Linked DNA regions of Oreochromis niloticus. The protein of the gene in region 1 purifies or fractionates together with the protein of each later gene. This does not show direct contact. Links are inferred from orthologs where the notes say so. Each region holds a gene or a part of one and is shown on either strand. Other genes may lie near its edges.

What was found.
Region 2: the proteins of psmg1 (region 1) and pomp purify together in Homo sapiens (affinity purification with mass spectrometry; 4 studies listed by BioGRID and IntAct, with this or other methods). This does not show direct contact. The link is inferred for Oreochromis niloticus from reciprocal best matches to the Homo sapiens genes PSMG1 and POMP.

What each region holds. Positions count from the first base shown.
Region 1 is NC_031975.2:24,232,883-24,244,614, reverse strand, and holds the start of psmg1 (proteasome assembly chaperone 1), read left to right. Parts: upstream 1-6,990; 5' UTR 6,991-7,094; coding exon 7,095-7,213; intron 7,214-8,681; coding exon 8,682-8,785; intron 8,786-9,576; coding exon 9,577-9,722; intron 9,723-11,298; coding exon 11,299-11,361; intron 11,362-11,732. UniProt on the Homo sapiens protein: Chaperone protein which promotes assembly of the 20S proteasome as part of a heterodimer with PSMG2.
Region 2 is NC_031974.2:26,855,795-26,866,185, forward strand, and holds pomp (proteasome maturation protein), read right to left. Parts: upstream 3,822-10,391; 5' UTR 3,740-3,821; coding exon 3,662-3,739; intron 3,341-3,661; coding exon 3,243-3,340; intron 3,111-3,242; coding exon 3,050-3,110; intron 2,858-3,049; coding exon 2,756-2,857; intron 2,669-2,755; coding exon 2,575-2,668; intron 2,480-2,574; coding exon 2,412-2,479; 3' UTR 2,188-2,411; downstream 1-2,187. Other genes in the region: lg9h11orf65 (protein MFI), read right to left, coding at 4,886-4,944, 5,122-5,177, 5,310-5,480, 5,695-5,825, 6,001-6,210, 6,321-6,374, 6,446-6,538, 6,631-6,712 and 1 more. UniProt on the Homo sapiens protein: Molecular chaperone essential for the assembly of standard proteasomes and immunoproteasomes. Degraded after completion of proteasome maturation. Mediates the association of 20S preproteasome with the endoplasmic reticulum.

The DNA.
Region 1 (11,732 bases):
GTTATGAAACCCCTGCTTTACGCACGTTCGCATGAATAAAACCCACACCCTACGTAAAAGCGATCACACCCACATCTGATGAACAATTCTGTTCCTAAGCAACTGATGCTGTCTGCGTGGGGCTTGCATGTTCTCCGTGTGTCTGTGTAGGAGTCCTCCGGGCGCTCCACTTTCCTCCCACAGCACACAGACACGCAGCTCAGCTGGAGTGAGCACTTTAAAACACTCCTACGTGTGAATAAGTGTTCGTAGGTGGTCTGACGGAACGGGAGCTTGAGGTTTCCCTGTGGGGGCAACAGTGCGCAGATAGGGCTCCAAACCCCCCACGGCAGCTATAAAGACTCCAAGTTCGGGTGTTGCATTTTCTTCCTTAATAAAAAAAAATTGTGATTATGTGCATTTTAGTGTTGAATACAGCAGTCCACAGCCCTGTTAACTGGCCCAGGAGGCTGCAGTGTTCATTATACTTCACAATAATTAAATAATCCCTGGAATAATTTCTCTGATGACATCAGGAGGGCCCCCCTTTAGAGTGAAACTTAAAACTTATCTTTTAGCCTCAGCTTTTGATTAGCTGATTATTCTCTGATTAGTTTGGCCCATGTAGCGTTTAGCCTCACCGCTGTGGCTCTCACTCACATGTTTGAATTATTGCAAGTATTATAATTATACTGATGTGCTTTACAGTAGGTTATTACTTTATTTTGAGCTGACACCAACATTACAGACTCGCCTGCTGGTTACTTTCTATATTGGTTTTTAAAAACAGTGAGAATCACTCGTTAATCAGTCAATAATTAATCAGGTCTGAGTTTGATCTGTGTCTGTGTTTAGTATTTGTACAGTCTTTAGAGGATCTGTGATGCTCTTCTCTATATTGTTATGTTTTTAGCAGAAACTAGAAGATGTAAAGGCAGGTACTGAGACAGAAAAACAACAAACACACTTTTAGGGTTTTTATTACAAGACCAGAATGTACAATATTGAAGAGGGGTTGGTGAAGAGTGTGCTGGCTGCTGAGGTCCTTCACAGGTGAATAATTTTTCCAGAGTGAGTGTTTGATTATGAGCCCAAGGGGAGGCTGGCACTTAAGGTGATGTAGAGTGGACGAAGGGAAAATGGTTAAATACGTGAATACATAACAGAGCCTGGAGCAGTTCTAAAAGACGGAACGATCTGGAAATATGTGCAAGTAATGAGTTGGTGGGAAACGGGTGCACTAACATGAGATTTGTCAGGAACAGGTGACACTACTCCAGCCAGACTTTCAGTCCATCTAAACTTTTAATCCATCAATAAGTAGCTAAAAAGAAGGATTCACATCATTATTGGACTCCACCCACCCATCCATCCATCCATCCATCCATCCATCCATCCATCCATCTATTCTCTTCCACTTATCCAGTTCAGGGCTACAGGGGACTGGAGCCTATCCCAGCTCCTACATGGTGAGAGGTAGAGTACATCATGGACAGGCTGCCAACCAATCGCAGGGCCAATAAGACACATAAACAAGAGTTCATATTCACCAGTTTAAAATCTCCACTTAACCTAACTCCATACATGTCTTTGGACTCTAGAAGGACGCGGGAATACTGGTAGAGTGTCCACACAAACATGGGAAGAACATGCAAATTCAACAGAGAAAGACATACTAATACTAATAAACATTATACATGTCCACCGGTGTTAATATCTACCACAGTAATGCAGTTCTTGTATCATTAGCTCAGCTATAATCCAATATGTAAAACCAGAGGGTCACTAATGTTATAGAAGTCATCCCAAGGGGACCATGAGTATCTGGAGCACATTAATCATAATCCATCCAATAACTAGGATATCTCTGTCACCACACTCACAAAGACGACACTAGATGTAACACAAACCATCTTCACTGTGTTCACAGTGTTAGTGTTATGTCAGAGCAATTAGCAGTTATCTATATTTAACCCATATTTTCTTTGAAAAAATGAATTGCTGTCCATGAAGCCCATCAAAGGTTAGGCATTTATTAGATGTTTTTGTGCCCGTCCTAAAACTCAAGTTAATTATTATCTGATATAGTGCTACTTAACAAGATTTTCATTAACAATTCAGCTCACTGATAACTGTGATGGTTGAGTTCCTTTTATCATTGCACTGCTCCCTAGTTTTGCTATACCTCTATGTAGAAAAGAGCCTCAGATTCTCTTGACAAATATCGACTCCTCACTTGTCTGTCACTCTTCATTTGTCCTTAAGGGTGACAGTCAATTAGACGAGAGCATTTCCAGGACTTGATTTCACTCAGCTAGCTCTGCAAGGCCTCAAGGAGCAGCTGTTCAGTGAGGTGAGAGGCTGGTGGCTGAGTTTCCAGACCAAAATGGAATTGTGTCCCTATTTTCATCCTGATGCACTAAAAGTGCAGCTTGCCTGAAATTGAAATGAGAGTCTTGCAGTTCTGGGTATCCACACCTGCCTGGTATGCACCTCAATCATTCAGCAGGTTTGACAGTGAGAGCTAAGTTTAAAGAGAGGGAAATGCAATAAACCTGAATATGTAAACATGGCATCTTACAAATATGAAAACCTGGAAAACAACACAATAAAAAAGATCTGTTCATGAGTCAAAATCTCTCTCTCTTGTGGAAGCACAATACATTTTTTGACTCAAGAAAAAATAACAAGTGCTTTCAAATTGGTGTATGTATGAATAGCTCCATTGTCTTGTCTGCTTCTGTGTGAACTACACTCTCTTTTGTGCATAATTAATGCTCTTAAATGTGTGAAAGGTAACCTTGTCTCGTATGCCTCTGCGTGAAAAGTACCCTCTTCTGTGGATAATTAATATTGTCAAATTGTTCTCGGTGTGAGCAGTGTGCTTTCTCCCTTCCCTCTTTACCTTTGTGTTAACAGTATAGTTGTTGCTTTTGTGTGTCAGCTATGTTTATTTCATGTTTTCTAAGTAGAGATTGTTTTGGTTGATTTGGAATTCATTCTTCTTATATAATGAGATTTTCTTTAAAAGCCTAATTCATGCAGCTTAATCAGCAGGCGAGATGGGTATGTTGAGATAAATCTTTTAAGGGGAGACGAGCACGCCCCTGCCAACCACCGCAGGAGGAATGTGGTGCTCTTGATCAAAGTGTAGGACAAACAGACAAACCCTCGTCCTCACTGGACGGACTCCTTGTCTGTCCCCTCTGACTGTCTGTCCTATTTTTAATGGACAGTAAAGTTGTGACATGGCCTGTTTGTCCCATTGTTGACATTCCTCTCTTCTCTTAAGCCCTGGAGGCTTTGTGTTTGTTAAGCTGTAGAGCATCCCTCCTCCTCTTCCTCCCTCTCTCCCCTCTCTCTACTATCAATTACATTAACAGCAGCCCGAAGCTTCCCCCTAGCATGTTGCTCCATTTTGTGACAGGAAGCCTCACTGCTGTTAGTTTATGGCCTTCTGCTACATTATTGCACTACACTGGTAATAGAGCATACTCTCTATTCTAGTCCAGACTTTGTCCTCCAATCCGATCCCTCTTTCCAACGCCAGACATTTTCTGGTGACAATGAAGTATTTTTATGGCTGTGCTGATATCATCACATTTCTGTTTGTCCCTCATCTCCCAGGGCACCGCTTACGGGAAAATAAATTATACAATACAATAGATGGGGTGGATGCTCTGCAGTCAACTTGAGGCCAATTTGCCCTAACATGACTTGGCTTGTGTTTCCAGCTAGCTATACAGCTGAAGGTAATTTGAAAGCTTCTGAAATTTTGTATTCCTGCTTTCTTCCTCGTGTTAATTATGCATTACCAGTAAGAAGCTGGTGGAGCCATGTGGCATGTCAAGTTTACCTCTGATTGGTACCAAGGCCAGAAATACAGGGAGTGCAGAATTATTGGGCAAGTTGTATTTTTGAGGAATAATTTTATTATTGAACAACAACCATGTTCTCAATGAACCCAAAAAACTCATTAATATCAAAGCTGAATGTTTTTGGAAGTAGTTTTTAGTTTTAGCTATTTTAGGGGGATATCCGTGTGTGCAGGTGACTATTACTGTGCATAATTATTAGGCAACTTAACAAAAAACAAATATGTACCCATTTCAATTATTTATTTTTACCAGTGAAACCAATATAACATCTCCACATTCACAAATATACATTTCTGACATTCAAAAACAAAACAAAAACAAATCAGCGACCAATATAGCCACCTTTCTTTGCAAGGACACTCAAAAGCCTGCCATCCATGGATTCTGTCAGTGTTTTGATCTGTTCACCATCAACATTGCGTGCAGCAGCAACCACAGCCTCCCAGACACTGTTCAGAGAGGTGTACTGTTTTCCCTCCTTGTAAATCTCACATTTGATGATGGACCACAGGTTCTCAATGGGGTTCAGATCAGGTGAACAAGGAGGCCATGTCATTAGTTTTTCTTCTTTTATACCCTTTCTTGCCAGCCACGCTGTGGAGTACTTGGACGCGTGTGATGGAGCATTGTCCTGCATGAAAATCACGTTTTTCTTGAAGGATGCAGACTTCTTCCTGTACCACTGCTTGAAGAAGGTGTCTTCCAGAAACTGGCAGTAGGACTGGGAGTTGAGCTTGACTCCATCCTCAACCCGAAAAGGCCCCACAAGCTCATCTTTGATGATACCAGCCCAAACCAGTACTCCACCTCCAACTTGCTGGCGTCTGAGTCGGACTGGAGCTCTCTGCCCTTTACCAATCCAGCCACGGGCCCATCCATCTGGCCCATCCAGACTCACTCTCATTTCATCAGTCCATAAAACCTTAGAAAAATCAGTCTTGAGATATTTCTTGGCCCAGTCTTGACGTTTCAGCTTGTGTGTCTTGTTCAGTGGTGGTCGTCTTTCAGCCTTTCTTACCTTGGCCATGTCTCTGAGTACTGCACACCTTGTGCTTTTGGGCACTCCAGTGATGTTGCAGCTCTGAAATATGGCCAAACTGGTGGCAAGTGGCATCTTGGCAGCTGCACGCTTGACTTTTCTCAGTTCATGGGCAGTTATTTTGCGCCTTGGTTTTTCCACACGTTTCTTGCGACCCTGTTGACTATTTTGAATGAAACGCTTGATTGTTCGATGATCACGCTTCAGAAGCTTTGCAATTTTAAGACTGCTGCATCCCTCTGCAAGATATCTCACTATTTTGGACTTTTCTGAGCCTGTCAAGTCCTTCTTTTGACCCATTTTGCCAAAGGAAAGGAAGTTGCCTAATAATTATGCACACCTGATATAGGGTGTTGATGTCATTAGACCACACCCCTTCTCATTACAGAGATGCACATCACCTAATATGCTTAATTGGTAGTAGGCTTTTGAGCCTATACAGCTTGGAGTAAGACAACATGCATGAAGAGGATGATGTGGACAAAATACTCATTTGCCTAATAATTCTGCACTCCCTGTAGTACATCAAGCATCCCGACTCTAATTGCTTGTCGTATTGAAGCCAGTATGCATTGTAAAACCACACACCATGTGAATTCAATGGAGAGCCACAGCCTTAAATCATTCATTGATTTGAGTGAACTGCAATGGCAGAAAAACGCTGGAAAGTCATGCCGCCTCAGGCTTTGAGCTTCCCCCAAGGATTGTGTGGAGTGATGGTTTTGCACTTCTCCGTGTGCATGCACAGCATGTTTGAGCCACTCAATTTAAGGTATTTCTACACATGAGACGGTAATATTACGCTTCACTTGCTTCAAGCTTGATCTTAAAGCTGACCGTTTGCTCATTTGAACATTGAAATAGCTTTTATTGTTTTAATCATTTCTCCTGTTCATTCACAACCCAGAAACGATATAAAATGAACAGGAATCCTACTGTAAGCAACAACAACAAAAAAAGAAAGAAAGAAAGAAAAAAAAAAGAAATCTCTGAACAGTCTCATTTTTTCTCCCCCGAAACTCTTAAATAAATTGCACATAAATTCCCAATATTGAAACTCATATGTGGACATTAAGGTTTAAGTTCTTTCTTTCTTTTTTTTTTTTTTGTAATAAACAGAAGTTCAATAAACACGGCAGTTAAAAAAAATCTGGCAATTATTTCATGGTTCAGACTTACACCATTAAAAGACACTGGAGAAAAAATAAAAAACTATTTTAAGATAATTGAATGCAAAAATAGTTTTCATCTATTTATTTAGCTCTAACACACTGACATAGTTTATCTCAAGGAGTTAAGATCTTCGGCCAGTTAGATAACTTTATGAGAGTCAAACTCTATATTTCACTGGCCACAAACAGCAAATTTGATCTGAAATGTATTGTTATTATTATTATTATTATGATTATTATAATTCATAAAGAAATGTTAAAAGTTCTGGAAATGTTTACTCTTAATGAAGCATCTGTTTACAAAACACATGATTAGCAGCTCAATATTTTTACACATGCCACTTCCTTAGCTACACCTTTCTAGCACTGGTTCAGAATTCCTTTGACCTTCAGAACTGCCTTAATTCTTCATATCATGGATTTAACAAGCAGCTGGAAACAAAGAGATTTTGGTCCTGACTTGATAGCATCACGGGATTGCTGCAGATTTGCCAGCTGCACATCCATGATTTGATTCTCCCATTCCACCACATCCCAAAGATTTCTGTTGGATTGACATTGGAGACTTTGGAGGGCATTTGAGAACAGTGAACTCACAGTTTTGTCGAAGAAATCAGTCCAATTAGTTCAGTTCATATGTTGTGCCTTTATAAATGCTCTTCTGCATACCTTGGTCAGAGCAAGTGGTTATTTCTCGAAACTGCTACTTTTAAATATCCAAGTATTTTCATTATCGTGAAATATTGCTATTCCCACAGGAGGAGCTAACCAGCAATTTACTGATATAATTTGAAGTATTAAAGATGATTTCTTTGCAATTTTGGCCAATGCTGTCCACCGGACCTCATGTTTAACAATCTGGGGTTTGTAGGCTCAACTCATTTATTCTGAAATTTCAGTGTTTAAAATTAGGCTTTTATTCTGAAGGGCTCGTGCTGCCGGCGGAAGTCGTGGCATGCATGTCATGGCTACCTGTCTGAAAAATCTGTAGCTAAACTTTCACTTTGTTCTGAAAGCACAACGATTATGGCGACGTTTTTTGGGGAAGTCCTGTCGGTTTACTCTCGGGCTGTGGAGGAAGACGACGATGAGCTTGATGAAAACGAGGAAGATGAGCAAATCCGCAGAGAGCTGGAGGAAAAAAGGTAAATAACCAGCTGTAGCATCGGGTAGTGAGCGCAGAGAAAGCATGCAGAGGGGAATCAGGTTTAGTTAATCTAGCTAGTTAGCTATCTTAAATTCAGAGATTATTGCCAGTGAAATACTAAGACGTACAAAAATATGCGGACCATATCATCCCAATTTAAGCATTTTCTCACTCGGTCAGCTGGATGGATATCTGCCGCTGAAGCTAACTGAGCTAACATGACACATGAGTTTTCAGTTCACCCATTCAAACAGCATTTACACACTTAATGCAGGAACCTGTTTTTAACACTTTTATCAAGTGTACAAAAAGATATGGCAACATTGTCATTGCTATTATGCCCTTAAATAAGGAAATGGTTAGTAATAATAATAATAATATTAATGATAATATAGAGTAGTCAAACAAAAAGTTAGGGTAGTGTCAGGAAGGGCATCCTCAAGAATGAGATTTCCATAAAAATCAGTCGAAGCCGGTTTATCAGTGCTGCTGAGTGAAGACGGAGGAAGAGAAGAGGTGTGTTTGGAAGCTGCCAGAGAGAAGGAAAGGTAGGAGGTGAGGGTAAGGACTTTAAATGCAAAGGATTTTAAATGTGAAGCTTCCAGGATGACGGAAAGAGGAAGACAACAGAGAAAAATAATGGATGCAATGAAGGAGGAGATACAGAGGGTTGGTCTGACAGAGGAAGATATTAGGGAGAAAGGGTGAGATGGAGGCGTTATCCATTTCAAAATCATAAAAGTATTTGTATGTGTAGTTTTTCCAGAATTTGTTCCAGAGAATAGCACATTTTAGGAGTGATTTCATGATTATTTTATGTAAAAGAAAAAAAACTTAATTATATTAAAATTAAATTATACTAAAATTTAATTTTTCAAAGCCAAACCAACACATTGTGTGATGACAGGCAAAAAGTAGACACTTTTTTATTTTGTTTTTTTGTCTTTCTTTTCATTCATTATATAGACAAAAGTTCATGTTACACTTCCAGGAGCTGCTCAGCTATGGAAACCTGTAAAATTCCCAGCACACATTTTTGTGCTGATGTTAATGCCAGGGGAAGTTTGGGACTCTGCTTTCAATGAGCAAGCAGAGCGTAGGCGACGTTTACGCTCTGTACGCCTCAGCACTCAGCAATCCAGCCCTGTACATGGTTTCTGAATGCTTCCCAATTCCCATAATACCACTTAAAGTTGTTTGTGGAATATCTAGTAGGGGACAATTTCACAAACTGTTGCAACAGTGGCGTCCTATTACAGCAGGACACTTGAGTTTAGTGAGCTTCGTGGTACGACGTGTGGAAGGCTGTCTAAACTTTAATCTGAGTTTAAATATTTTGTTCACTAAGCTGAGAACCCAGGATACAGATTGGCAGATCTCATTAGGAGGAGCAGTTTTATAAATGTATGAAAATGTTGATTGGGGGAAAAATCTTTAAAATCTTTCTTCTCTATAAAACCAAACAGAGAGGTTCATCTGCACTGGAGCCCCGAAGTCTCTGAGTCGCTGAAGTCTGGAAACAAGTTGCAGTGTTCAAACTTCGTCCTTGCTGTGGGACAAAATGCTTCCAGTAAGTTGCTGCTGTCTCTCTCCTGTCTGCTGACTCGCCTGTGATTGGTTTAACTAGATGCCCAATATTATTACACATTAAATTAATATTTAATATCCCTGTCGGGACACTGGAACACGGTGGACCAAAATGTCAGCTCAGAGGCAGTAACAGAATATTCCCAAGAATCTTTTGTACTTTTAAAAATGATGAGTTGGGGAGCCAGTGAGAATACGGTGCTAAAACACTGCAGGAAGTATAATGCAGACAGTCTACGATTAGTGTTTTGATCATCAGTTAATCTGCAGCTTATTTTCTCAATTATTCAATGAGTCTTGAACCTTTGAATTTGTGGTTTTTTAATTAGTTTTTTTTTTTTACTAACTGTTTTCACTAAGTTGGTGACAGTTTTGTTTCTTTGAAGTGAGGTTTTGATCCACAGCTGTAGGTGGCAGTAGGCCACGCCCCTCGGCAACACTAACGCCGTATGCTACTGTGGACTGGGATAGCAGCAGTTGACATCAGATCTTTTTCAATCCAGTTTTATTTATTTAGCACCAAATGACAACAATAGTTGCCTTAAGGCACTGTATATTGTAAGCCCAGTTAAATAATTTTGTTAGTTTTCCAAGCCTACCTTCAATATGTTAAGTCTGGACTTTTATTTGTGCTCATAATCTTTCCTTTTGCTGTTGTTCCCTTCCGTAAGGGGTACCAGTAGCACTCTTGTTATTTCATGTTTCCTATTTGGAAATAAACACTTGAGTAACTTGTGAGCTTTCTTTGAAAACTGAGAGACTCTGTCTTCACAGGTTTTCTGTCAGTGCACATCCTGTCCACGGCAAACTGGGATACAATCGGACGTGCGTCGGCGTGGAACGAGAGGAGCCGAGCTGTAACGGGGCAAAGCTGCGAGGAATCGGCGTGTGTTTTCTACAGACACAAGGACAACCCAACAGTGAGTGACGCACCGAGCGAGGCAGCACTTCAAAATATGTCTGAAAGCACCTGACGGTCGAGAACTCGATGATCATTCAGTTTAATGGGTTTGCTCCTGAACTTCTGTTTAATATTTTTCAAGTGCTGTTTGAGATGTTCTCTCATTTATATCAAGGGCACTTTATAATGGCTGTGGCCTGTTCGCTGTCGAGCTGCAAACAGATGAGATATTATAAAAGAAAAATCTGAATAAATTACGCGCAGTGCAAGAGTAAAGAATGAAATGCTGGTTCTGTTACAAGACTTGGAAGAGAGGCCATTACACAGAGGATTAATGAACCCTGGTAATCTAGTGTCTGTTGTCAGAGTTATAACCGACCGGTTGATTGTGTGTAGAACCGCCTGCCCTCATCCACACGTGATTCAATCGAGATAAATGTAGTGAACGGTTGCTCCTGTGCTGCCGAGGAAGCTTCAGATTTATCACACGTGTCCTGCTGCCTTCAGGTGGCTGCTGGGATTTAATGTACTGGAGGACCACAGGAGCAGCTGTGGACAGCAGATACCACAACAGTTGGCCATTAATTTAAAGATCACTGATTTACTAAAAGTCCTGTTAGCACAACCTTCATTTTTAATGCTGATTTAAAGGGTGGGGAGTGTGTTTTAGACAGTAGTTGGTGTGTATGGTGAAAAATAATGCAGCAAAAGCGGGGATATTAAGTCCAAATAAAGCTCTCGGTTCAGTGTAGGATCAATAAACGTGATTTTTCTTTGAAGAGTTGAGAAGCCTGAAGATGTTTGTAATGCGTCCACTTTAATCAGTCATCAGTGGAAGAAGATAAATCATTGATTTATCTTTTTTGATAAAGGCAAAATACCCAGTGTTTGCTGACCTCATGTTCTTGATTGAAATCTGGGAGAATTAACTGACTAAATAGTAAAGTAATGCTCTAACATAACCAACAAAATCAGTTGTAGAGTGTTGAATCAAACTAATTTAGCTACGTATTTAGCGGAGGGGGTGGCTACAGCCTGTCCCCTGTCCTAGACCGAGAGGCGGGTTACACCCTGGAAAAGGTCACCAGTTCATCCCAGTGAAAGACAACCATTCTCTTTCACATTCACACCCAGTTTAGCCAATTTAGAATCACCTAAACTCATCTTTGTCTTTCTGTGGGGCTCCAAATTTACCGGTCCCATGTCTTTCAGTGTCTGTGTTTTGGCTGGTAAACATCTTGTAGTTGGGTTTGCAGTAGAGTGTTACATCCCACAATGCAACAGTAAAAAAAAAAAAAAAAAGGCCACATGAACTTCTGGATTCTTTGAATATTTAAGAATGTTACAGCTATTTAAGCATTAATCCATACTTGTGGGTCCTCTGGGTGTTTAGTTTGACTTTAACTCAATAACTTTAACTAATTATTGTAGAGCTTAAAATGTTGATTTACTCTTCTCTGATTTAATCTAATTTAATCAGTTAGAATACAGGGAAGTCCTGTTACATTTGAATGTTAAAGGTCGGAAAATGTTTTTTTTTTTAATTACAAAAGCATAGTTGTTGCATAAAAAGTTTTTTTTTTCTTTCCTTGAAGGTTTTGATATGCCAGGTGTCGTGCTACGTTGCAGAAGACCAGCTTTTTCAGTGGACAGAAAAGGTATGTTTAATGAACTAAGCGAAGAACTGCAGGGAGATTGTGTTATGTTGTCATTCTAGACTTTTTTAATGATGTGAAATGTGGGCCAGTGGTTGTTGACGACCCATTCTGAGGTCTTGAGCTGAGCATTTTTGACACTGAATGCTCATAAGCTAAGCACGATTTAAAGAAAGCCCTGCTTCATGCAAGAAACTACCGGCTGAGCCTATAAACTCAGATTAGAGATGTCAAATAAAACTTCTGGGTTGGGGTTAGGGCCTTGATTTTACAACAGAAGGAGTTGTCCCCTGAAGTTTAATGCATTTAAACTTCAAACTTCCATCATTTATATACAGTTTATTGTTTCTTTGTGCAGAGCCGTTCAGGCCGGC
Region 2 (10,391 bases), on another chromosome or scaffold:
AGTTAGCAAAACAAAAACACCGTCCCACTTTTAACCCCTGAGTTTTTAACACGTCGTCTCTTTTTATGCGACAACCTCTGGTGATTAATATAAGAAACAAGACTGCCTTTCATGTGTTTCTGTTTAGGCTCAAATCTATTTAATGGTTGGAGGTTTTCTCAGTGTTCATCAGTCACTGATCTGTGTGGCATGTATGTGGCACTGTGGCTTAGTTGGTTAAAGTGCCTGTCTAGTAAGTGTTAAACTAGAAAACAGGAGATCCTGGGTTCAACTCCCAGCAGTGCCTAAAAGTTAGTAGTTTTGTCTGTTCTCAGTCATCCAGGGCCTGTTAGTCTAAGGAGCTTTGAAAGATGAGTGTCTGGATTCCTTTAAGGGACACATCCCACTGGTGTTTAAATACCTGGGACTGCACCATTTCATTTTAGCAAGGGTCTCAAACTCGCGGCCTCACTCCTACTTGCAGCCTGTATATTGACCTGAAGAAATATAATGCAATTTCGCCATTGAAGTTACTTTTGTTGTTAGGGAGGATTTGTTTGTTGTTGAGTGCAATGTAAAAATAATTTCTTTAAAAAGCACAAAATGATTTAATATGAAGGCAATATGAACAGAGAGCACAAACTTGTTGAGGGATTGGCTGTTAGTTCAGTGAGAGAGTTATTTGTAAAGTAAACACTTTTCACTAGCAGTCAAAAAAGAATGTGTACACTTAGAGACCATTTTGACGTTTGACCAGAGTGCTCTCTCGGCTGCAGCGTAATATTAAAATCCACTTCAAAAGACACTCATCAAATGTTTATAGTTTATTTAAAAACTTCAATGACACTGGCCAGAAAGAGAGTACCAAGTTGTTTATTTGGTAGTTCAGTGAAAAGCTTCAGTTAATTAAGAGTGCGAAAATAATTAATTCACCTTTGCAGTTTTGTCTTGTTATTCAATATTTGAAAATAAAAAAGGAACACAACACTAGATTTTTGGGAGTATTTGTGGGTGTTTTCTATTTGGCCAAGGCCAATGATGTCATTTATATCAGATCTCTTAGCTGCTCCTAAATGAGATACTATGGGAACATGTGTGATTTGCATCTGTAGAGAACATCTCACTGACTGCTGGATCAAATAGAGGCTAAACAACATTTTGGTCCCGTAGACAACATATGGGCTCGTCCGGGATTTGAACCCGGGACCTCTCGCACCCTAAGCGAGAATCATACCCCTAGACCAACAAGCCACACAAAAAAATGCACCAAGTCCTTTTCTGAAAGTCACACATCAGAGCAAATGAAGAGGCATGTATGAACGACTGTCCTGAAAGCTACCAGTCAAAAGTTTGGACACACATTGTCATGGTTTTTCTATATTGTAGATACAAACTGAAGTCATCAAATAAATGAAGCAAGAAATATGGAATCATGTAGCATCGAAAAAGAATGATAAATAACTAAATATGTTTTATATTTTAGATTCCTGAAAGTAGCCACGCTTTGCTTATTTCAGTGCCACAAACCCTTAACCTTCTCTCAATGAGCATCATGATATAGTCACCGGAAATGGTTTTCACTTCACAGATGTGCCTTTTTAGGGTTAATTTGTAGGATTTCTCTTTAGCACATTTTCACATGAGCATCATACATCACCCAGAAAAACATCAATCACAAACCTATACTCTGCGTTTTTTCAACTGGTTGCAGATGTTTGATCAGCCCATGCCACCAAGCAGCAGCCATTATGAATTCAACCTCAATGATTTCCACCCTGCTATTAATGTTAACAACCCCGGGCTTCACAGTGCAAATTTTAAAAGAGAAAGTGGAGAGCCTTGCCAACAGCTCCTTAAACTCTAAATGGAGAGTACAGTCGTATAAACATGCAATTAGACTTAAATAACATATTTGAAGAATTTAATTGTGGGATGAAAAAGAACGATTTAGATATCAATGACTTTTTTAAGGACACTTCAAGTTAGGCAAATGAAGAATGAGTGAAGTGAAGAATAACATGGATTAAAATACAAGTGTTGCTCTTTATTAACCTGTTGCATTGGCAAATCAATGTTAGCTATACAGGTGAACATACTCAGAGTGGGTAGTGAGGCTTTGTTACACCTTCTCTCTGAACACATGCCAGGTAATTTTATCAGCGCAAGCTCATCTAAAAATGTAAATAACTGATCAAATGAACCAGGACAATGAGGAGAGTCATGAAGTTTATTAGAAATAACCAAATTAAATCATACAAAAGCAGCCTGTGTGAGTGACTCTTTTCAAGATCACTACACACACACACATACACGTCCTGCTCAAAAGTACTCCACAACTAAAACTCTCCACCAACTACTAACTTTGGTTATGGAGTTGATAAACAAATGTATTCATACATAATAATAATATGGATCTGTGTGCCCAACTCTGTTCACAACAATCCCAATTTGTACTCCACCATCATGTGTGGCTCACCCATCACTTCACTCTGGGCTGGATCTATAAAGGAAAAAGACAAAAGCACAGTATAAGCTATGGTTTTATTTCAACACACATATCACTGAAGGTGTAAAAGGGAAGGACAAGGTTCCCACCGTTGAGGACGTCTTCAAATCCAATGGACTCATCGCTGTTTCGCAGCGTATCGAGAGCCAAATTTGAGCTCTGTAGGAATGGGAGACGCTGGATCTGGAGGGAAGAAACAGTTGGTGTCAGGACTGAGAAGGAAAAAAGAAAACAAAACAAGAGAACACCCTAAAAAAGGACTGCAGCTACCTGTCGGGCCGCCCTGTACTCCATTTGCAGTTTGAGAGGAGCGTGAAGACCCTGGATGTTTCTGAGTGTTGAGAAATTCATCTTATCCTGGTTCAACTGGAACTGCTCATGGAGAAACAGAAAACAGTGAGATACCGAGAGAAACGTATTTTTACTACTTGCCCTTTGTGTCTATTGTGATTAAACTGAGCTGCATTTGACAAAAAAAGTAATTTTTATAGTAAAACCAAGCACAAAACACAAATACCATTTAAGCATTTTATGGAGACAGCATTAATTGGTTTAATGACTCACATTTTTTTCTGACAGCTCCAGCGGGTGGCTTGGAAGCAGTTCATTCTTAACACTGGTAAATCTGTTTAATAAAAGTAGTAGAGAAAAAAAAAAGTGTTACAAACAGCACGTTGTTCTTTATTTGGGGGCTAATACAAAAATGTGTTTTTTGAGGTTATCATGCAACTGTGTTTCATTTTTAACAGTTTCTCACCCACTACGGAGGGAGTCCTGCACTCCGTAAGCTCCCTGTGGAGAGAACCCAGCCACAGGTACACTGTCCTTAAGCTGAGAGCGAAGTCCTCTGGAATTCTGTAGTCCACATCAAAGACATACATAAACCATTTACATTTGATCACACTTAGCTAATGGCTATCTAATGTAGCTAATAGCAACAAATACTGGAAGTTGTATTTATCTAAGGGACCTTGTGGCTAACCTAAGCGCTAGCTGGCATTAGCTCGAGTGACTAATCAAATTCACAGCTACTCAGTTTGGGCACGGTTAAAAACAAACAGCTTCACCACCGAGACTTCAAATGATCACACAGATTATTAAAGCAAAGAGAGTACGCAACAACAAGGCTTAAGATATTTAAAAAATATGGTATAGGCATTAAAAACGCTATCATACCATTTTCACTTCGTTTGTTCCCCTTTCCTTTCGATACACTGCTGTATCCGGTAGCGTCTCGTTTTGATGACGACACATCCGCTGATAGCGTTATGTACAGAACCACGTCTTTCCAGTTAAACATACTATCGTGTGCTGTACAGTATCTAAAGTATACGAAATCAATTCGTTATCACTTAACTGAAGATAGAAACATGAACTCCCAACTTCGTGTGGGGAATGATTATGATCATGACAAATACGTATGCGTCCGCTGTGCTAAACGTGAGGGGGTATAGCTCAGTGGTAGAGCATTTGACTGCAGATCAAGAGGTCCCCGGTTCAAATCCGGGTGCCCCCTGTTTTCCAATTTTTGCGTTAGTCATTTGCAAAACTTTAATTTATCACTTTAATGACAAGTACAGCTTTTGGAATTTAATGATAATAATAATAATAATGATAACAGCCAGAATATCTGTTACATCAATTACCATACTATGTAGCATTACATTTACAGATACATGGCTTCAATCAAACAAGTAACAAGTAAGGCTGACCTGTAAAATGCACTTCTCTCTACAGTGGTACAGTGTGCTCCCACAATGAGCTGAACACCCTCGGATATCAAGTTAAGAAACACAAAAGCCATAAATACAGTTAGATCCAGTTGGGATTGTCATTTTGCCTTCATATACCACCAGCATATATTTGAATTGAACAGTCAAGACGTGATTGAAGACAAGGGGAGTCATTTTCATGCAGCACTGGATTTTAAGATGCTCAGAAGTAGAAGTACTTCTGAGCACAAGAAGTATTGGAAAATTGACCAAATGTCTCATTATTCCATGAGAAACTAAGGATGTGGAATTGATTCAGTAGAAGCTGGTGATCTGCCAATTCAGTCACCTCAGCAATCCATAGGCACATGGTGATTTCCAGCTATCAGACGGATACAAACACACCGGATATCAGCTGTACGTTGATTTGCAGATGTTTGCGAGCTGATGATTAAGGACAATTTTTGGCAGTCTGACTCTCTGGAATTCGGAATGTGGTTTAACACACTGTTACTGTAACAAACTATAGTCTACACACTAACAAAAAATGGCACACAGTGATGTCTACTTATATGACAGACTAACAAAGACTGTAAACAACTGCAAGTTTCAGACTTTATTAAAGTGAATACTGCAACAATAACAGTGTGGCACACTCCACTTCGAGACTGCACAGTTTTAACATAAATCATGTTTGTTCTGCTGCCAGCTCGTGTGGATCTAACCTGGGTGGGTGAGAAGGGCCATCTGTAGGAGATATGAGAAAAAGGTGATGAAGAAAAAGGAAGACAGAATAGCATGAGACTGGATTATCAGGATCATCCAAAGACTTCCAAAGCAACCTACATGATGTTGCCATGTTAGCTATCAATTTAAAAAAATCAGATGGCAGCACAGAATACAGTATTTAGGGAATATTTTTACCTTTGCTCTGCTCAGAGGAGTAACTACAGGCCAAATGTCTCCATTCCTCCATATACCTGCACAGGCAAGAGAGGAAAATTCATACTCGGTGGTGGTGGTGGTGGTGGGGGGGCGGGGTACATCCTACGATGCGGGAAATTATAAGAAAAATTACAAATGCCACAAACATTCTAATCAGTGTGCCTTACTCCTCGAAGTTTAGAGTGTTGGTCCAGGCCAGCAGCTCATCCAGCTCCCATTCCAGTATTTCATCATCTCCTTTCTTTTCAACGGTCTCCATGAATTCCTGGGTGGAACTCTCCACCAGGGCCGCCATGTGTCTGTGCTCCGCATGATCCTGCAGACGACCCTCTTTATACCTGTATGTAAGGAACAGGAGTGACAGCTCATTTAGCACAATTAAAGCAACACACCATTATGTGTTTGTTAGCAAAGATGTGATTCTATAAGGGGGAGGTTTCTATCACTATTAATAAATAACAGACACAAACTTCAGATTGCATTTAAATTATTGTGATCACTGATGCCACAGTGGTTTGCTCGCCAACTGTTTCATTTCACAAAAGCGCTTACATCTGTTTCAGCCATTCAATTTTCTTTCTCTTCCTCCACCTCTCTAAATCTTGCTTCCGCTGCAACTTGGAGTAATGAAAGTCCATTTTTTTGTCAGCACCGATCTCTGCAGGCTCACATGCTAAAACCACCTAAGAGAGAAGACGAAGCAAAAAACAAAAAAAAAACAGACTTGCAGAACTTTGGCTTTTAGAAGCTTCCTGTTAAAAAGCATTTGTAAACTTGCTGTAGCTCTTTGGCTCACTGTTTCTAAACAAATGGCAGAACTTGACTAAAGCAGAACAAAAACTCATTTTTGTTCCTCACCTTGTTACAGAACAGCCTCCAACTATTGTTCTCCATGCGCTGGTACCAACCCAATCGGTCATCCTTTGCGACGGCTGGGCCTTTGTTGGTCTTCTGGGCCACAAGCTTCCTACGGCTTTGCTTGGTGTAGTCTTTCGGACTGCCTGCACACACATCCGTAATGGGCCGATGGGTGAAGATCTTGTAATAGATATTGGGAGGAAAGTTGATCTAAAGTGGCAGAGAGGTTAGATGTCAGAAGGCATGTCTCTAATATCATATCCATATAGCTCCTGAGTGATCTATTCCTGACCTATACTATTTCCTCTCTGAGCTCTTACCCCTCCAAGTCGAAATCTGATAAACACTCCAGCTGCAGCATCCAGTAGTTCGGCCTGCCACAACAAAATCACATTTCATTTTGTTTGATTTGGTTTTATTTCATAGGGGTTGCAATTTCCATTACCTCTCGAGGATTGACAGTTTTGAGGATGGTCTTTGGATCCCGCTGTTTGCAGTAGAAAATCAGCTCTTTGAAATACCTGAAGACTTCACTGGCCTGCAATTTGGGTAGATAAAAACAAGTTGTGCCTACAATTGTGCACATATGTGAGTCTGTGTTCCCATAGCAGTAGTAGCAGATGCTCCTACCACATATCCTCTCCAAGCCCTCTGAATTATTCTGACTGCCACTTCCTGCAGTGTCCCTTGTTGGGGCTCCTCCTCCTGCAAGCTACAGAAGAGGAAACATGAGAAGGAAGGACAAAGAGACCGATTATTTTTTACATTACAATATATTGCATAATGTATCTTATGATGAGTTCTACTGATGAGAGAACCAATAGTGGAATATTTACACTGACTTAGATACTTATTTTTCGTATAATCTGGTGGTATGCACTTTTACTTTATTCAAATTTTAGTCATTTTAATTGACTTTATATTGGTAATTCACCGTCCTTTTATTTGGGAGGAATTAAGCTGATTTTTTTAATGTACATTTTCCATTACTTTTAACCAACTGTTAAGGTTAACTGTTATTAGGACTTTAAATATAAAAATGTGCAGTCATTTTCTAAAATATCATACACAGCAGCACATTAGTTGCCTATTAAATTGCCTTAGTAATACTATGCCAGAATAATAACTTATTCAAGCAATTTCTGACATAGCATATTGGTAATTACTGTGATAAAATAAAAACGGGGTTTTCAGTGCGCATGCGCCGACCAGCATGCAGCCTGTCACAGCCTGCTGCAGTTTGTCTTGCTTTTTTCTCGTTAGTTTAGCTTTTTTTTCCCTTACTTGTACTTTCATCTGTTTATTATCTTTCCCCCAATCATGTGGATTGAGAGAGTTTTTGTTCTACATAATTTTCCCTATGGATCAATAAAGTATTCTGATTCTCTGTGTGTATGTATCAATAAAACGGCATAAAAACTTCTGCATAATGGAAAAGTCATAAAAATGTTGTCCCAACTATGTACAATACAAAAATAAGATGATTTAAAGTTTGCAATTTATCTGGGAACTAAGCTAAGGCATCAAACAGCTAACGTTAGCTAACTTAAGCCAGGGAAATAATATCTACAGTATTTACATTGTGTGATACACACGTGACTTCTTATCATATGCAAACGTCATTATGATGTAAAATATACATCACCTCATGACTGCTGCCAATAAATGTCTAAACTTATCAGCTGATGACAGCAGAAGCTTTGAAAATATCTCAGTAAGTTACTTGGCAACATAGCCTGACATTAATTAGTCTTCCGGAAAGTACTTTCAAAATAAAATGTTGTTTTGCTCAGTTGTATTACTTAACGGTAGGACATAGAAGTTCATTATAAGTCAAGACCAAGACTGATATTTTACAAGCCCAGGTACAAATAAATAAATAAATACATAAATAAATAAATAAAAATTAGATACATCTCTATAGGTCTTGACTTTAGCCCTTTTTTGCCTTAAGAATTGCCTTAATTCTTCATGGCATAGCTTCAACAAAGTACTGAAAACATTCCTCAGAGATTTTGGTCCATATTGAAATGATAGCATCACACAGCTGCTGCAGATTTGTCCATGTTGTGATTCTCCCTTTCTACCACATCCCAAATGTGCTTAATTGGTTTGAGATCTGGTGACTGTGGGGGCCCTTTAAGTACAGTCAACTCATTGTTAGGTTCAAGAAACCAGATGATTAAAGTTTTGTGACATGGCATGTTATCCTGCTGGAAGCAGCCATCAGCAGCCATGGTCAGAAACAATACTCTGGCAGGGTGAGGGACTGGATATTTGATCTTTTTTGGACCATTCTGTGAGGTTTTGTGCTAAAATCCCAGCAGTTCAGCAGTTTCTGAAACACGCAGAGCAGTCACCCACAACCACGTCATGTTTAGAGCCATTTAAACCACCTTTCTTCCCCATTCAGATGCTCAGTTTGACCTTGAATAGACCATGTCTACAAGCCTAAATGCACAGAGTTGCTGCCATATGATTAGCTGATTAGATATTTGCATTAACGACTTATTGAACAGGCATACCTAATATAGTGGCAAATGAGTGTAGTTTTAATATCACTGACCATTAGATGGAGCTCTTTAACAAGTAACCCCAGCTTCTCTGGTTTTTCCACCACTCTTATGGTTGACATTAATCTTTAGTATGCATATATTTTCTGAAACTTTAGACTCCAACCGTATTATATGCCAAATCCTTACCTCGAACCTTCTTATTAATAAAATTTCACAAATTTCCATTAGTTGGGATTTGTTTATTTTTGTCACAAAAGGTGGGCACGTCCATTAAATATGACTGTTTGAACAGATTTGTCCCCACAAAATGAGCAATACCAGTACCAGCACTCACATACTGAATCAGAAAGGAACTTTTCAAATCTCTAATGAGTAATGTTCTTTTCTCTCAGCCTCTTGACTCGAACAGCCAGGCCAGGCAGCAAGACCCTGTGTTTCTTAGTCAACCCACTCAATTAGTTTGTCAGATAGCGAGGCACAGATTCATCACCCAGCTGTGTGGGATTTCTCCATGGTAATAAGAAACTGCAGCAAATCAGAGCTCTTAATGTTGAAGTGACTTCATGCATTGGCACTAAAAGTCTACCAGAGCCCAGATCCTGCACATGAGATTTTATTTCAAATACAGCATACTGAGGGAAATTTAGGAACCCAAAAGCCAAAAAAATTGCAGAATTGCCTTGTTTTATCTTGATGGTGCAAAAACAGGCGCAGGTGTTTTCATGAGTCTCTGTCTCGACACTATCAAACCAATTCCACCAAACCCAAATGAATCAATCACATTCACATATAAAAACGACATTTATATTTCAGTTTCTGCTCCTTCATTTTCAAACTAAACATTTAAATAAAAAGTGAATTGCCTGCAGGCAGGCAGAATTTCTCAGCACTTTTTCTATATTTATTAGCTGCTGAATATTCAAACATGCATTTGTGGTCTATATATTACCCAGACTGCAGTCCTGTTTGCTTTCCAGATAAACTGTCCTCATAGCTGTGGACCAGAACATTTGTAGATATGAATTGCTAACTAGAAAGATGTCCTTTATGCAAATAGGCACAGAATGCATTTCCCAACCAATGCCTGTGGGCATGTAGCAAAACTCATTTCACATGTATTCAAAGCAGGAGTCTATTTCTTTTCTCTGTGGGGGATGTGCTGTCACTGTGATTCCTAACAAGGACAGATATTTTTATATTAGCTAGGCTGGTTTTTAGAGTGAATACTCAAGATATGTTGGAGGTAGTTTCAACACAGTTGAATTTTCAACCCTTTCAGTCAACCCTGGGATTTGACTGAAATTTGTGTTGCAAAGGCATAAGTCACACTACATTAGCATGTAAAAAAATTACTTGACTGTTAAATTTGAAGTTTGCATTTCTGATGGTACAACTCTCCTCCATGGTTTTCCTTAGTTGACACCTTCAATTAGTTTCAGTTTTGAGCTGCTAAGTAAAGCATTGACAAGAAATCTGTCAAAATGACGAAAAAAATATCTATATATTGATGCGAGAATATATCTCAGCAGGCTTAGCAGATAAGAATTTTGTGATCTCTACAAACTGAATCTAAAGTGCTCCTTAATTCACCCCAGTACTTCGTGGTTAATGACTTTGAAAAAACACAAAAACCTATTTTTGCTATTTTGGGATACTAAATAAGAAGCTCTTTGTAGTCTGCTTTTGTTTTTTCAGATATTTTAGCTATTGTTGACAGCTCTTTGACTAGGAGCATTTCCACCCCTAACTTACAAACTTCTGAGAATTATGTTATTTTAAAGAAGCTTTCTCTTGTAATTTTAAACGTTCCATTCAGCTAAAATTCTTATCTTTTTTTTTAATTGAAAAACTGGTTTTCAATAAATAAATTTCAAT